4 linked regions of the Macaca fascicularis genome follow. Each later gene encodes a partner of the first gene's protein in a complex. Links are inferred from orthologs where the notes say so. Each region holds a gene or a part of one and is shown in the gene's direction. Other genes may lie near its edges.

Region 1 (3,570 bases):
GTGTGAGTACTTGAGTGATTGGAGAAGGCTTGCTGAATTCAGGCAGAGGTGTTTTTTATGTATTTTCTTCTCTTTTTTCCGACAGGTCAGAATCCGAGTCCAAGAAGCGTAAGCATAGGTAAGAGCTCTTTAACTCATTGGGGGCACAGTGGCATGTAGAGTGGTGATTTCTTTTTCTTGAAGTGAAGCTCAATACCTTGATCTTTCTCCTGTTAACATTCCCTAACTCTTTACATTTCACTTTTGGTTTTATTTCCTTTTTTAAAAAAGTTACTTTTAACAATCTTTCCTTATTTCTCAGGTCTCCCACTCCAAAGAGCAAACGTAAATCTAAGGACAAAAAGCGAAAGCGGTGAGTGAATTTGTGGGGAATTTGCTTAGAAAGTAAGTGAACACCACCTTAGTGGGAAGGGGTTGAGTCAGTTATGTCCCTAACTGGTAAAAGGTTGAGGGGTAGGTGAGGAAAATCCAGGGCAGGTACAGCAGTACCCTGAGCTGTGGCGGTGGTCTTCCTTCAGGTCTCGAAGTACAACACCAGCCCCCAAGAGCCGCCGGGCCCACCGTTCAACTTCTGCTGACTCTGCTTCCTCCTCTGATACTTCCCGCAGTCGGTAAGGGGTAGTCCAGGAGGAAGGGAGGGAGAGGGAATGATGGGTTAATTAATTTAATATTTATTGAGCGCCCACGGTGTGCTAGGCGCTGCACAGACCATTCGGAAGACACGGTCCCTGCCCTCTAGGAGCTGACAGGCTAAAGCAACAGGATGGACAGACATATACATTTCCCCTTCTCTTTTTTTTTTTGTTTTTGTTTATTTGTTATTTTTTGTTTCGTTCTGATGTATATGGACTGCCAGAATAGGGGGGGTGGTGGTTTGTTCGTGGTGTCTGGGGGAGGAAGGAATCCTTACCCTGGCTTCCTTAATCGGGGAAGGCTTCCTGAAGGAGGTGGGCTCAGAGGTGAGTTGTGAATGAAGCGGGTAGGGAGTGGGCTGGGTGGATGGTTTCGGGATGTTTGGGGGAGGTGAGTGAAGGGGTAGAGGGAGAACACTGTTTGGGATTGTGTTGGGAAGAGAAGAACCAAAGTGGACTGTACTTGCATTTCAGTGAATGATTTGAGTTATGCGACTAAGCAGGCTTTTTGGAAGAGGGTTGTACAGTTGGAAAAGGTGGATGGGAGTTGGGGAGGGGGTTTCCTGTTCTCCCTTTGAGCTGATTTCCTTCCTCTCCCCCATCCTCAATTAACTCCTGCAGGTCTCGAAGTGCTGCAGCTAAAACTCATACAACTGCCTTGACTGGGCGAAGTCCTTCCCCTGCTTCAGGGCGACGAGGGGAGGGAGATGCACCTTTCAGTGAACCAGGTACTACCAACACACAACGGCCTAGTAGCCCGGAGCCTGCTACAAAACAGCCTAGCAGCCCTTATGAAGACAAAGATAAAGACAAGAAGGAGGTATGTTCCTGAGTTGGTGATGTTCATTGGATTGCAAGTGTATAGATTTAGGATAAACTTGTGACATGAAAGGGAGAGGTAGTAACTTACTAAAATAAATTCGGTTATTTTTTTCTGCATTGATCTCCCAGTTTTCTTACTGTATCTGCAGAACTTGTAGTGTTGTTACTAGACTGAATTGTGAACCCTTTAGAATCAAATCTCACTGGATACTAATAGGTTTTATATTGTATCTTGTTTATACACAGAACTGGAACAAAAGTTGTATTTTATCTGTGTACGCCGTGTTTCTTTTCTTTTCTTTTTTCATTAAATGCTCGTTGTGTCTCACTAAAACTGTTTAATCCATTGGGGTGCCACCAATAGTTTGAATGAAACACTGGAATAGTCTTCAGTAGTTTTCTTTTCTAATTTTAAGCGTTAATCATTTCCTCTTGCTTTAGTGATTACAGTGTAAATTCTTGGCCTCTGTCATCAATTTTCCATGTCATCCAGGATTACCTTTCCAAATTACAAGTTGGTTGACCTCAGAAACTTAACTGCTTCCTTATTGCTTTTGAATTACATTTAAGGCTTTTAATAATTTGGTCTTTTTCTCATTTCCTGTACTCTTTCCATCCTGGTCTGCTTTTCTACTCTTCAAACAAATCATGTTCTCACATCTTTATTCATGTTGTTTCTTTTCCTTTAATAGAGTTATTCTTAAAAGGTGAAGTTGCCATTCGCTTTAGGAAACTGCTTATTTTTCCATTTAAAGATAGTTTTTTCCGCTTTGATAACATTTCGTAGTGGTATTTGTTGTTAAATGTAGTAGTGTGTTAGTTATTTGCGTTTAGTGTTTCAGTTTTAAGATTCTCAGACTATCCATATCTTCATATGTTTTCCCCACTGTTCTTTATATAATTCCTTGTTATTGAATGAAAGTGATTGCTTGTGGTCAGGGGATGTGTAAAAGAAAAGTTATTGGAAAGGGTGTTGGGATCTTAGGAGTGATGTGAAGTCTTGGCGTTTATGAATCCCTATCCCTACTCTCTCTTTCACTCTTAGAAATCTGCAGCTCGACCTAGCCCCTCTCCGGAAAGGAGCAGCACAGGCCCAGAACCACCTGCTCCCACTCCGCTCCTTGCTGAGCGACATGGCGGCTCCCCACAACCACTTGCAACAACCCCCTTAAGCCAAGAGCCAGTGAACCCCCCATCTGAGGCCTCTCCCACTCGGGGCCGTTCACCACCTAAGTCTCCTGAGAAACTTCCCCAGTCTTCTTCCTCAGAGAGCAGCCCACCATCCCCTCAACCTACCAAAGTTTCTCGGCATGCCAGCTCTTCCCCAGAAAGTCCTAAACCTGCTCCAGCTCCGGGGTCCCACCGAGAGATTTCTTCTTCTCCCACATCCAAGAATCGCTCACATGGCCGAGCAAAACGGGATAAATCACATTCTCATACCCCTTCCCGTAGGACGGGGAGGTCCCGTAGCCCTGCCACCGCTAAGAGAGGGCGATCTCGGTCTCGAACCCCTACAAAGAGAGGTCATTCTCGATCCCGATCTCCCCAGTGGCGTAGGTCCAGGTCTGCACAGAGGTGGGGAAGATCTAGAAGCCCCCAGCGACGTGGCCGCTCTAGGTCTCCTCAGCGACCAGGCTGGTCTAGGAGCAGAAATACCCAGAGAAGAGGCAGGTCTAGGTCAGCAAGGCGAGGGAGGTCCCACTCTAGATCCCCAGCCACTCGGGGCAGATCTCGTTCTAGAACACCAGCCCGGCGGGGCAGGTCACGCTCTAGAACACCTGCCAGGCGGAGATCACGATCCAGAACACCTACCAGGCGTAGGTCTCGGTCTAGAACACCAGCCCGGAGGGGCAGGTCTCGGTCTAGAACACCTGCTAGGCGCAGATCTAGGACCCGATCGCCAGTACGACGGAGGTCTCGTAGTAGATCACCAGCCAGGAGAAGTGGCAGGTCACGCTCCAGAACCCCAGCTAGACGTGGCCGCTCACGCTCCAGAACCCCAGCCAGACGTGGCCGCTCACGCTCTAGAACCCCAGCTAGACGCAGTGGTCGCTCACGCTCCAGAACACCAGCCAGGAGAGGGAGGTCTCGATCTAGGACACCAAGACGAGGAAGA
Region 2 (4,250 bases), on another chromosome or scaffold:
TTGCACGTTCTTCTCAGCAACTTGCTTTTTTCCATAAATAAAACACTGAGATGTCTTTACTTCTTGGGATATCTACTTCATTCCTTTAAGCAGTTCCAAAATAGTCCACTGCATGGCTGTACCAGGGGTCGTTTAGCTGTGTTCTCATAGACATTTGTTTCCAGTTTTTTTTTTTCTTTGAGACAGAGTCTTGCTCTGTCACCCCAGGCTGGAGTACAATGGCACAATCTTGGCTCACTGCAACCTCTGCCTCCTGGGTTCAAGTGATTCTCACTGCCTCAACCTCCTGAGTAGCTGGAACTACAGGCACCCGCCACCACACCCGGCTAATTTTTGTATTTTTAGTAGAGACAGGGTTTTGCAATGTTGGCCAGGCTAGTCTTGAACTCCTGACCTCAAGTGATCCGCTTGCCTCAGCCTCTCCAAGTGCCAGGATTACAGGTGTGAGCCACCACGCCCGTCCACACATGTTAAATTTGAGATCAGCGGCTACCCAAGTGGAGATCAGGAACCTGGAGTACTTGTGACTTAGTATTGGGAGTCATGGGATATAAATGGCGTTTAAAATTAGGAGCCTAGGCAAGATTACCCCAGGCCTGAGTGTAGTTGGGGGCCCAAGGTACTGTTCTGACCCAAGGCAAGAGTCTGGCAGAAGAGAAGGAAGGGATCAGGCAGGGTTTTGGACCTCTAGGCTTGATGGCCACCTGCTGCTGGGCCTCCAAGGGGCCTGGAGGCGGTGCGGACGGAATATGCAGAGAGAATGAGAAGTGAGCGAGTAGAACGAGGGTGGTACATGGCTTTGAAGGAGTCGGCCACGGAGGCGGGAAAGGATGGGGTGGAGGCTCATGAGACTTGAAGCTCTAGGAGGACACTGAAAAAGACCTGAGCGCTGGCCGGGCGCGGAGGCTCAGGCCTGTAATCCCAGCACTTTGGGAGGCCAAGGCGGGAGGACTGCTTGAGCTCAAGAGCTCCAGACCAGCCTGGGCAAAATAGTAAGAGCTTGTCTCTACAAAAAATTAACATATTAGCCGGGTGTGGTGGCGCGTGCCCGTAGCTACTCGGGAGGCTGAGGTGGGAGAATCGCTTGAGCCTGGGAGGTCGAGGCTGTAGTGAGCTGTGATTGCGCCACTGCACTCCAACCTGGGCGACAGAGCGAGATCCTGTCTCGAAAATAAAATAAGACCTGAGAACCCAGTATGGGAATGGCCCTGAGCCGTGGCTGAGGGGGGTAGGCGAGGCGGTCGGGAGAGACCCTTCGAGAAGATGGGGCTTCGAGGCTGAGGGAGCTCTGCCCCGAGAAGGCGCCAGCGAGACACAACACACCTAGCTAGGACCCCATACTGGGCAGGCGATCCTTCCGAGCATGCGCACCTGGCGCTAGCGAACCACAATTCCCAGCCCGCCAAGCGCCTGTTTCCGGGGCGAGCCGCGGAACCCGGAAGTGGTCACGAAACTCGGCAGTGGCTCCATGGTCTGAGTGGTCAGCGGTTGCTTTTTCGTGCTAGGTAGTTGCCGCCGCCGCCGCGCCGCCATGGGGAAGCGACAGCACCAGAAGGACAAGATGTAAGTTGAGCCGCAGTCGGGAGTGGCGCTCCGCTCTGCCTCAGTAAACCGCCTGTCCCGCCCTGCTCGCCGCTCGCCTTCCCTCTCAGCTGGTCCCCAGAGCCCAGCCCAAAAGTCACTTCCTCCCGGAAGCTGCCGCCGTCTCTCCAGTCAGGGTAATGACCCTCGGGCCGCCGCGCTCTCCCAGGGGGCCGCGGCTCCGAAGACGTCAGCTGCGGGCTCGAGCGCAGCCCGGTCTTCCTTTACTCTAGTTCTGCCCGGACCGTGCCCCGTCTGCTCGCGAGCTTTGCCCCTGTAATCTCTCCCTCTTCCGTACTTCGCGTCTGGCTGTGTTCTGGTTCATGCCTGTCAGCCTGCACACGTGCTGCAGAGCCTTCCTATTTAAAGCAAACCAGGCCGGGCGCGGTGGCTCACCTGTAATCCCAGCACTTTGGGAGGCTGAGGCGGGCGGATCACCTGAGGTCAGGAGTTCAAGACCAGCCTGGCCACCATCATGAAACCCCGTCTCTACCCAAAACACAAAAATTAGCGGGGCGTGGTGGCGGGCGCCTGTAATCCTAGCTACTCGGGAGGCTGAGGCAGGAGAATCGCTTGAACCCGGGAGGCGGAGATTGCCGAGAGCCGAGATCGTGTCACTGCACTCCAGCCTGGGCGACAGAGCCAGACTCTGTCTCAAAAATAATAAATAAAATAAAACAAAAAAATCCGCCTATGCCCCGTGCCCCGCGTTCCCCTCCTGCTGCCGCCGTGATTTCAGAACAAGTTAGAGACCCGTGGCTTCATGCTGTTTTCTGAGTCTCTTGAAACCACTCAAGTCAGAATTTCGATCCCAGAACTGCCCCTTGTCAGGTTGCCAGCGACTTCTTGTTGCTAACTCTAGTATTCAATCCTCAGTCCTCGTGTTTTTTTTGAGACGGAGTTTCGCTCTTGTTGCCCATGCTGGGGAGTGCAGTGGTGCGATCTCGGCTTTTCGCAACCCCCGCTTCCCAGGTTCAAGGGATTCTCCTGCTTCAGCCTCCCGAATAGCTGGGATTACAGGCATGTGCCCCCAGGCCCGGCTAATTTTGTATTTTTAGTAGAGAAGGGGGTTTCTCCATGTTGGTCAGGCTGGTCTCGAACTCCGATCTCAGGTGATCCGCCCGCCTTGGCCTCCCAAAGTACTGGGATTATAGGCGAGCCACCGCTCCAGGGCAGCCTCAGTCCTCATTTTGTTGGGGTTCTCAACAGTATGTCACACTGTTAACCACTCCCTCCTTCTGAAGCCTTCCTTTGGTATCTGAGATTTCCTGTGCTCTTTGTTTTCCATCGACTTCAGCGGCCTCTCTTTTCCCAGCCTCCTTTCTGGACCCTCCTCCCTTTTCTCAGATCTCATAGGTTTCTTTTCCATAAACATTCTCTGTGAGTGATATAATTTCCCAGTCATCTATAAGCTGCTTTCCCCAGTCTTGTGTAGTTAGTGGCTTACTTGATATCTCCACTGGAGGACTGATAAACATCTCAATTTTTTTTTTTTGAGATGGAGTCTTGCTGTGTTGCCCAGGCTGGAGTGCAATGGTGCGATCTTGGCTCACTGCAACCTCTACTTCCCAGATTCAAGCGATTCTCCCACCTCCGCCTCCCCAGTAGCTGAGATTACAGGCACCTGCCACCATGCCCGGCTAATTTTTGTATTTTTAGTAGAGATAGGTTTCACCATGTTGGCCAGGCTGGTATCGAACTCCTGACCTCGGGTGATCCACCCGCCTCTGCCTCTCAAAGTGCTGGGATTACAGGCGTGAGCCACCGTGCCCTCAAATTTAATATGCCTTAAACAGAACTCTTGATTTTCAGCTCCTGAGCCTGCTCCTCCCTGTAAGCTAAAAATAAAATCCTAAATCCCCTTACTGGCTGAGCAGACACCCTTGTGCCTAAGAGAACTCCAGGAAAACCTTAAAACTGAGTTCCTGGCCATGATGCGATGGAGGTCAGCTGTACCTTGTTATATCTTCCTCCCTTTTGTGGCCCAGACACAACAACTGACTGGCATTAACGTTGAAATAGAGATCATAAGGGGCCCGGCGCGGTGGCTCGCACCTGTAATCCCAGCACTTTGGGAGGCTGAGGTGGTGGATCATGAGGTCAGGAGATCGAGACCATCCTGGTTAACATGGTGAAACCCCGTCTCTACTAAAAATACAAAAAAAAAAAAAAATTAGCTGAGCATGGTGGCTAATTTTTAATAAAAATAAAGAAATAGAAATAAGATTGACGAAACAGACTCTTTGTGGCAATAAGATACCAAATTATAAATAGAACCTACAGTCATGCCAGACAACTTCCCTGGTTAAGTTACCCACCCCTACGCCTAAAGAATAAACTATATCCTAACTGCCACAGGGTTTTTTTATTTCTCTATCAGCTAAACAAGCACTGGCGTTCAGATAAGCAATTTTTTTTTTTTTTTTTTTGAGATGGAGTCTTGTTCTGTTGCCCAGACTGGAGTGCAGTGGTGCGATCTCGGCTCAGTGCAAGCTCTGCCTCCCGGGTTCACGCCATTCTCCTGCCTCAGCCTCCCGAGTAGCTGGGACTACAGGTGCCCACCGCCACACCCAGCTAATTTTTTGTATTTTTAGTAGAGATGGGGTTTCACCGTGTTATCCAGGATGGTCACGATCTCCTGACCTCATGATCCACCAGCCTCGGCCTCC
Region 3 (4,211 bases), on another chromosome or scaffold:
CCTTCCTTCCTTCCTTCCTTCCTTCCTTCCTTCCTTCCTTCCTTCCTTCCTTCCTTCCTTCCTTCCTTCCTTCCTTCCTTCCTTCCTTCCTTCCTTCCTTCCTTCCTTCCTTCCTTCCTTCCTTCCTTCCTTCCTTCCTTCCTTCCTTCCTTCCTTCCTTCCTTCCTTCTTTCTTCTTTCTTTCTTTCTTTCTTTCTTTCTTTCTTTTTCTTTTTTAAGACAGAGTCTCGCTCTGTCGCCCAGGTTGGAGTGCAGTGGCGGGATCTCGGCTTACTGCAAACTCTGCCTCCCGGGTTCAAGCAATCCTCCTGTCTCAGCCTCCTGAGTAGCTGGGACTACAGGTGCCACCACCAGCCCGGCTAATTTTTGTATTTTTAGTAGAGACAGGGTTTCACCATATGAGTCAGGCTGGTCTCAAAGTCCTGACCTCAGGTGATCCACCAGCCTAGGCCTCCCAAAATGCTAGGATTACAGGCATGAGCTACCACGCCTGGCCAGTAGGCACTTTATGTCTATTATTTACTATTGTAGACAACTGACACTCCTTCCCCCGCCCCCGACCCTGACTTTTTCTTTTTTAGAGACGGGGTATCGCTCTGTCACCCATGCTGGAATGCAGTGGCGCAATAAGAGCTAAGTGCATCCTCGAACTCCTGGGCCTCAGGCCATCCTCCTGCCTCAGCCTGTGGGCTAAATGAAACTACAGGTGCACGCCACCACACCTGGCTGATTATTTCTAAATGATTTACTTCATCAACACTTCCCACATGAGTAGGGCACACAGTAGGCGCTCCATAAATACTTGTCAAACGCCTACACGAAGGAATCAATGCCTGGCAAGAATGAATCCACCTTCCACCATGCCTACCTCGCTAAAAACTACATTTCCGGCCGGGCGTGGTGGCTTACGCCTGTAGTCCCAGCACTGTGGGAGGCCGAGGCAGGCGGATCACGAGGTCAGGAGATGGAGACTATCCTGGCTAACACGGTGAAACCCGTCTCTACTAAAAATACAAAAATTAGCCGGGCGTGGTGGCGCATGCCTGTAGCCTCAGCTACTCGGGAGGCTGCAGCAGGAGAAGCGCTTGAACCCGGGAGGCAGAGGTTGCAGTGAGCCGAGATCACACCACTGCACTCCAGCCTGGGCAACAGAGCAAGACTCCATCTTTAAAAAAAAAAAAGAAACAAAAACAAAACAAAACAAAAAAAACTACATTTCCCTGTGCACTTGGCGCGACGCACTCCCACGACGTTTGAAAGAGCGACAATTACTTCCCACGGCCCCTTACCGCCCCCTCCCGCCGGTGCCACAGTGGTTGATGGGAAGGTAGTTTTTACGCACTTTGGCCGGCCCCTAGCCATCTGAACCCAAACTAAATTTCCCAGCAAGCAGCGCGCAGGCCTGGGAAAAGGGGCAAGATGGCTGACTCCGAAGAGGGTGTTTTGCCGCTGACGGCTGCTTCCACTGCCCCAATTTCATTCGGCTTCACTCGCACGTCCGCACGGAGGCGGCTGGCCGACTCGGGAGACGGCGCGAGGCCATCTCCGGAGGAGAAGGATTTCTTGAAAACCGTGGAAGGGAGGGAGCTGCAGAGGTGACGCGCCGGGTCTTTCACACCTTGGAAATCGCTGCGGTGGGCGTAAGCGGGAGGGAGGAATCTCACTCAGTCGTTTGTCTTGGTGACAGTGACCTGTTAAGCCTGAAGCACAGCCTGAGTAAATTCGTGGAGGCCAGAAGGCTGGAGTTTATAAGAGGGGTGGGGAAATTGGGCCTGATAGCCGTGGGAATTGCGAAGAGAGGATGTATCACTGAGAAGAAGTGTCTTTAGGACTTGAGGACACTGAGGTGTGTGCGTTTTGGGAGAAGGAAAGAATGAGAAAATGACAGGACCTGCTAGTGTCTCAGCTGAAGTGGTGGGGCTTCTCTGATATGGGGAACGGGATGGAGCGGCAGATTCAGGTTGATGGAGGCCACCATCAGCTTAATGAGGAGAGGAGAGTCTGAGGGAGGGATTTCCAGAAGAGAATCAGGCATCTGGGAAGCTGTTTGGGAACCTGGAGCTAGGGAGGGTCTAGGCTGAAGATAGTGATTTGTGGGCCATTGTGGAAGCCGGTCTTGAGTTAAACAGAGAGTCCAGGACTTATTTCTCGAAGGCACTGACATTTACGAGTTGGGGGCACTGGGGGGGATAATCCAAAGAATGCACGATCAGAGAGGTACAGGAGATCCAGACATGGAGTAGAGAAGGCATGGTCTGTGGGGCTGGGGTGAGTTTGGCTCTCGTGTTTTCTCTGAATAAAGGAGTGTGACCCACTGACACTGCCATTCTCCCAACCCCACCCCTCTGTGTCCACATCAGTGTGAAGCCCCAGGAAGCCCCCAAGGAACTCGTCATCCCTTTGATCCAGAATGGCCATCGCAGGCAGTCACCAGCCCGGCCCCCTGGGCCATCCACAGATACTGAGGCCTTGGCAGATGGGGTGCTGTCCCAGGCTGTGAAGGAGCTCATTGAGGGTGAGTGATGCCCCTTTACCCTTCCCCAGTGAAGGAAGAAGATGAAGAAGGTGGAAGGATAGAGTGGGACTTCATTGCTCCCTCCTATTCTTCCCTTAGAATCCAAGAAGTCTCTGGAAGAGAGAGAGAATGCGGGTGTCGACCCCACGCTCGCTATCCCCATGATCCAGAAAGGATGCACCCCCAGCGGGGAAGGGGCAGACAGCGAACCCCGGGCAGAGACAGTGAGCTGGCCCCTTGTCCCCCTCCTGCCCCAGCCTTTCTTTGCCCTGTCTGCTAGGCTTTGTCCCTGCACATAGCAGGGAAAGTCTGTGTGCTAGAGGCCCGCCACCTGTCCTTTCTCCTGTCATCCTTTTTGGAAGCATTACCAAATGAATCTGGATATCTGGATGCTAAAAACGTACTTGAATCCTAGGATTATCTGAATGAGGTGTGCAGCAAAGGGAACAGGAAATGTAAAGGCCCTGAAGGTAGACACTGCCTAGAGTGTTTGCGGAACACCAAAGAGACTAGTGTGACTGAAGTGGAATGAGTGAGGGGAAGGGATAGTAGACGAAGTCAGAAAGGAGATGGGGGTGCTAGACAAGGCAGGGCCTTGTAGGCCATTGTGAGGACTTTGGCTTTTACTCTGAGTGGGATGAGAGCCTAGGCAAGCCCTGAGCATAGATGAAATATGATTTATGATTTGACAGCATCCCTCTGGCTGCTGTGAACAGACTCATTAGTGAAGGTGGAAGCAAGGGGATGAGTAGTCCAGGCTAGAGATGCTGGGGACTTAGACCAGAGTGGTCTGGAAGGATAAGTAGGGTTTAGTGAGAGGGAAGAACAGAGTGAGTGTTCCTGTTGGTAGTAACAGCCCAAGCAATGGCATAGTGGCAGAAAATCGATGTGGTGTGTGTCCATCAGTGAGGCAACATGTGGTGTGTCTGGAGTGAATGGGAAGGAGTGATGATGGAAGGTGACGAGGAGATGTGAGAGGCGTGTCTACAGGAGTAACCAAGTCTGTCTTTCATACCCACAGACCTGACTTTTCACCTCTTCTTTCATAAATTTCTTGCATTGCTTCTTTGGAGTCTAGTTCTCCTACAGCCCCAGAACACTCTCTTTCAACTGAACTGTTCTCTTCAGCCTTCAGATGTGCTCTGATTTCCTTCAACTTTTTTTTGTTTGTTTGTTTTTTGTTTTTTGAGACAGAGTCTTGCCCTGTGGCCCAGGCTAGAGTGAAGTGGTACGATCTCGGCTCACTGCAACCTCCCGCTCCCGGGATCAAGCGATTCTCCTGCCTTAGCCTCCCAAGTAGCTGGGATTACAGACACGTGTCACTACCGCCTGGCTAGTTTTTGTATTTTTAGTAGAAACGAGGTTTCGCCACGTTGGTCAGGCTGGTCTTGAACTCCTGACTTCAGGTGATCTACCCACCTTGGCCTCCCAGAGTGCTGGGATTACAGGCATGATCCACTGTGCCCAGCTCCTTCATCTTTAAAGAAAAAAAAGATCCTCACTTCCCTCTTCATCCTTTCATCCTGTTCCAGCTTTAACCTCATTCCTCTAATTTTTCCCTCTATAAACCTCCTCCTGCAGCTTTATACATATCAGGTGACCAAAAATTCCATCCATCCTTCCTCTCACTCAGCATAAAAACCTTGGAGTCGGCCGAGCCTGTAATCCCAACACTTTGGGAGGCTGAGGTGGGCGG
Region 4 (4,251 bases), on another chromosome or scaffold:
TCCCACCAGATTGAGGGTGGGTCTGTCTTCCCCAGTCCACTGACTCAACTGTTTGACAACAAACAGTTGTCAACAGTTTGGCAACACCCTCACAGACACACCCAGGATCAATACTTTGCATCCTTCAATCCAATCAAGTTGATATTCAGAATTAACCATCACAGATAGTATTGTGGGTTTTTAAATATATAAATACAAATGTTCATCTCCAGATCCATCTCCTGTGCCCTGTATTGGTACACCAAAGTGCACCATCAACAATGGCCAAATATCTTAAATATGAAATAAAATAGATAACACTATTGTATACTAGCAATTATCTTAAACGTATCTTGTGAATCAACTAATTCAATTCTTACAACTACTGCATGAATGGGTACTACTAGTATTTCCATTTAACAGATCAGGAAACGGCCACAGAATGTGAAGTTACTTGCCCCAATCATCCATAAATAATCAAAGGACTCAAGATTCAAACGTAAGTAGTCCAACTGCAGTGTTTTTATTCTTAATTCTCACACTTTGCCTCCAGAAAGGAGTGGAAGCACAGCACCCTAAAACTGTAATAGAGAAGTGTGTGGAGAAATCAGGCCTGGTTTATGAAAGATTTGATAACATAAAGATATTCTTGTTTTAGAAAGAGAGTTTCCAAAATAGTAAGTAGTTGAACTTTTACGTTTTGTTACTAGTGAAAAGTGAAGTTTAAAGAAACAATTTGTTTGATGCCCTAGTTCTGCATGCTGTACAAACTGCTACTTCCTACTCAGCCAGGCAATCTCCTTATTCTCAGGTCATACCAGTTGGTACCTTACCTTAAAAGACAGGCAACATAGTCTCTACAGAATTATTTTTTCCTCATTATTTCACTCTATTTATGATCTAATATTCTCCCATTCTCTTGGCTTGGATGTCTTGGAATTTATTAGGCACTTGACTCTTGGTCAAACTCTTATAAAAAAAAGTCTCAAGAAAATCTCTCACTTAAGATTTTCAAGGAAAGTGACAACTGACTACTAAAAAAAAAAAAAAATTCCCAAAATGCAGTGAAATACTTTTAGATTAAAGTAAATTTGCCTAGACCCTAAACACTGCTAGGCTGCCAGTCAGCAGCGTGGATGTTAACTCGCTGGCGCGCATCTGTATGAACTACAATTCCCATCGTACACCGCGCCATTTCACCGCTAAACTACAATTATGCTTTCGTCATTTCCGTCAGCACAGGTGCTGGATTTCGGACTTTGTAGTTCATGCCAACTTCTTTTTAGTCGCCATTTTGATAAGAATACAGTGTGCCTGGATCGACTGCTTTGACTCTGGCATTATGATATGGTATCTGAAATAAATTAAAAGGATAACGCGTCAAGCCAATTGAGCGTCAAGTTTTTATGTATTTCAGTATCTGCCTTGTTCCTACTGTCGGTGCTCGGGAAGAGGAAGTGACGTACATCCGGTGTAATGGCGGCGCGGTGCAGCTTTAGGTAATTATCGAACTCCGCGGAGTCCCCGTAGGCACCGAAGCGGAGCGGGGGTGGCGGGTTGTCGGGTCGGGTGGGAAGTGAAAGACCCTGAGGAGTGGGTGCGGGCTCACTGATACGGCTGTGAGCGGCATTGGAGTGTGCGTGGGTCTTCCCGCCACGCTCGGGCCCGCGAGAGGGGTGTGAGAGTGGCTGGGTCCGAGGAGTCCAAGCGGGTGGGGAGCGAATGGGCTGCGGTGAACTGACTGACTGCCTGAGCGGACCGGCTGACCTTCCTTGTGAGGTTCCTGCAGCTGTCTGAAGTCCTGCACCAACGCTGGTGCTCTGTTGTTTCGTGTGCGGTGTGTTTTATACTTAGAGCCTCTGGAGTCCATTGGGCTTGCCAAAGCCCCTTTCCCAGTGCCTGGGGAGTGGGATTAATGAGCTCTAGTTGATTAAAAGTTAGTTGAAGTACTTGCACTCTTATGCCTCTTTCCGGCGTTATATCCCTTTGGCTATTTGTTTTACGTTTCATTAGCGGTTTCTTTTTCATTTATTTGCCCTGTAAATACTGATAGTTTCTAGAGTTTAGTTTTGAAGACGCTTCGCTTCTCTTGTGTCCTCTTCACCTGTCATTCTTGATCCTTACATAACTTGAACTATCTCCAATGAGGTAATAACTGCTAAACTTGGGTGTCCAGACTCCACCTCTCTAAGGAGCTTTGGGTCCTGTAACACAGCATTATAGAACGGAAATATAATCGTTAATTTCACTGAGTTTAACTGCAAAAACTACCATACCTATTTCCACTTAATCCTAACAATTCTTTTGAGGTAATTGGAGAAGGCAGGATTTGGAGAAAGGCTATTCTAGATGCAAGAATTAGGTAAGAGTTTCCTTTGCATTTTTGGATGTGCAGAGACTCGAAATAGCAGATAAACAAACAAATTGGGTCCTCAGCAGATCAGTTAACCTACCTCTTATCCGTATTTAGACTTATCTTGTTGTAGGATTGCTTGTGAATTCAGGAGTTAACACAGATTATCCTACTATGCAAGGGCAGATTTAAAATTGACATTAAAAGTGTGGTTTTGACCAGGAGAGGAGAAGCCTTGTTACAGGCCTTATCAGTAGGTTGAGGAAAGCTACTTTTGTTGGTCCTGGGTGATGGACTAGTAGACCAAAGATTTCAGTTTTATTTAGCTATTATTAGGTCTGTCACTTGGAGCAAGTTAAAGTCTCTATTATATATAGTCAGCTTCATCATCTGAAAACATGTAGGTAATAATACAATACCTGCCTCACTGTGTTGTCTTTTTTTGAGTATAAAGAAAATAATGCAGATGAGGCACTGAGCACAGTGCCTGATATACAGTGTTAGCTTTGTATTATTGTAAATTGCTACTATGATACAGTTGATGAGTTCTGTCTGTGCCTCAGTTCTTGCCCTCTGGGTCTGAGTGTTGCCTTTCCACCTTTAAGTGTCCTTCCAGGTTTTTTTTTTTTTTGAGACGGAGTCTCACTCTGTCGCCCAGGCTGGAGTGCAGTGGCGGATCTTGGCTCGCTGCAAGCTCCGCCTTTCGAGTTCACGCCATTCTCCTGCCTCAGCCTCCCGAGTAGCTGGGACTACAGGCGCCAGCCACTACGCCCTGCTAATTTTTTTTATTTTTAGTAGAGACGGGGTTTCACCATGTTAGCCAGGATGGTGTCTATCTCCTGACCTCGTGATCCACCCACCTCAGCCTCCCAAAGTGCTGGGATTACAGGGTGAGCCGCTGCGCTCGGCCAGTGCCCTTCTAGTTTTAAGTGTCCATGCCACTTTTATGGAGTCTTACCCAACTCAATTGACTGGGGCTCTGAGACCGTCTTGGTTATAAGTTAAAGGCCAAGAACTTTGATCTAATACCCTGGTCTAGTGGTTCCAAAAATGTGGTCTCCTGAATCAGCAACATCTCTTTGAAGCTTATTAGCAATGTAAATTACTGGGCTTCACCCAGTTCTGTTGAATCAGAAACGTAGAAATGCAGGCCCAACAGTTTTGTTTTTTTTTTTGGGTTTTTTTGCGCCAAAGCGTTCGAGTGATTCTCATGCCAGTTAGTTTGAAAACTTCTGCTCTAGCCCATCTTTTAGGGGCATGCTATGGTTCATCCTCCCCCTGTCCTCAGAATCAGGTTTGTTTCCCTCCTTGCTCCAAAGTACTTGATCCATGGCCAGCCAGTATTTATTATTATGCCACCACATCCTTCCCTGCTTTGGATAGATTACCTCCAATCACTTTTTGGAGTTCTGACACTTCCTAGACTACCTGGTTTTTCTAAGCGAGCTTTCTTAGCTCTATTAGCTTTCCCAGCTGTTGAATTTTTAGAAGTTAATTCTTCTGTTGGGGCGCGATGGCTCATGCCTGCATTCCCAGCACTTTGGGAGGCCACGGCAGGCGGATCACTTGAGATCAGCAGTTCGAGACCAGCCTGGCCAACATGGTGAAACCCTGTCTCTACTAAAAATACAAAAATATGTAGCAGGGTGTGGTGCTGTGCATTTGTAGCCCCAGCTACTCGGGTGGCTGAGGCAGGAGAATCACTTGAACCTGGAGGCGGAGGTTGCGGTGAGCCGAGATCACTCCACTGCACTCCAGCTTGGGTGATAAAGTGAGCCTCTGTCTCAAGAAAAAGAAGAAGAAAAAGAAAAGAAGTTAACTCTCCTTCCCCATGATTGAACATTGTTGAATGACCTACAGTGGCTTGTACCTGAGACCACCCAGAAGACAGCACGGTGACACATTTTGTATTTCAAATG

Evidence for each region.
Region 2: SRRM2 (region 1) and PPIL2 share a complex: the UniProt entries of both Homo sapiens proteins name them as parts of the minor spliceosome. The link is inferred for Macaca fascicularis from reciprocal best matches to the Homo sapiens genes SRRM2 and PPIL2.
Region 3: SRRM2 (region 1) and GPKOW share a complex: the UniProt entries of both Homo sapiens proteins name them as parts of the minor spliceosome. The link is inferred for Macaca fascicularis from reciprocal best matches to the Homo sapiens genes SRRM2 and GPKOW.
Region 4: SRRM2 (region 1) and CWC22 share a complex: the UniProt entries of both Homo sapiens proteins name them as parts of the minor spliceosome. The link is inferred for Macaca fascicularis from reciprocal best matches to the Homo sapiens genes SRRM2 and CWC22.

What each region holds. Positions count from the first base shown.
Region 1 is NC_088394.1:3,609,242-3,612,811, reverse strand, and holds part of SRRM2 (serine/arginine repetitive matrix protein 2), read left to right. Parts: intron 1-85; coding exon 86-118; intron 119-301; coding exon 302-352; intron 353-518; coding exon 519-611; intron 612-696; coding exon of another isoform or gene 697-739; exon of another isoform or gene 740-959; intron 960-1,253; coding exon 1,254-1,452; intron 1,453-2,499; coding exon 2,500-3,570. UniProt on the Homo sapiens protein: Required for pre-mRNA splicing as component of the spliceosome. As a component of the minor spliceosome, involved in the splicing of U12-type introns in pre-mRNAs.
Region 2 is NC_088384.1:31,463,099-31,467,348, reverse strand, and holds the start of PPIL2 (RING-type E3 ubiquitin-protein ligase PPIL2), read left to right. Parts: upstream 1-1,437; 5' UTR 1,438-1,531; coding exon 1,532-1,563; intron 1,564-4,250. UniProt on the Homo sapiens protein: Has a ubiquitin-protein ligase activity acting as an E3 ubiquitin protein ligase or as an ubiquitin-ubiquitin ligase promoting elongation of ubiquitin chains on substrates.
Region 3 is NC_088395.1:49,285,864-49,290,074, reverse strand, and holds the start of GPKOW (G-patch domain and KOW motifs-containing protein), read left to right. Parts: upstream 1-1,398; 5' UTR 1,399-1,419; coding exon 1,420-1,595; intron 1,596-2,360; coding exon 2,361-2,515; intron 2,516-2,614; coding exon 2,615-2,739; intron 2,740-4,211. UniProt on the Homo sapiens protein: RNA-binding protein involved in pre-mRNA splicing. As a component of the minor spliceosome, involved in the splicing of U12-type introns in pre-mRNAs.
Region 4 is NC_088386.1:75,564,254-75,568,504, reverse strand, and holds the start of CWC22 (pre-mRNA-splicing factor CWC22 homolog), read left to right. Parts: upstream 1-1,438; 5' UTR 1,439-1,478; intron 1,479-4,251. UniProt on the Homo sapiens protein: Required for pre-mRNA splicing as component of the spliceosome. As a component of the minor spliceosome, involved in the splicing of U12-type introns in pre-mRNAs. Promotes exon-junction complex (EJC) assembly.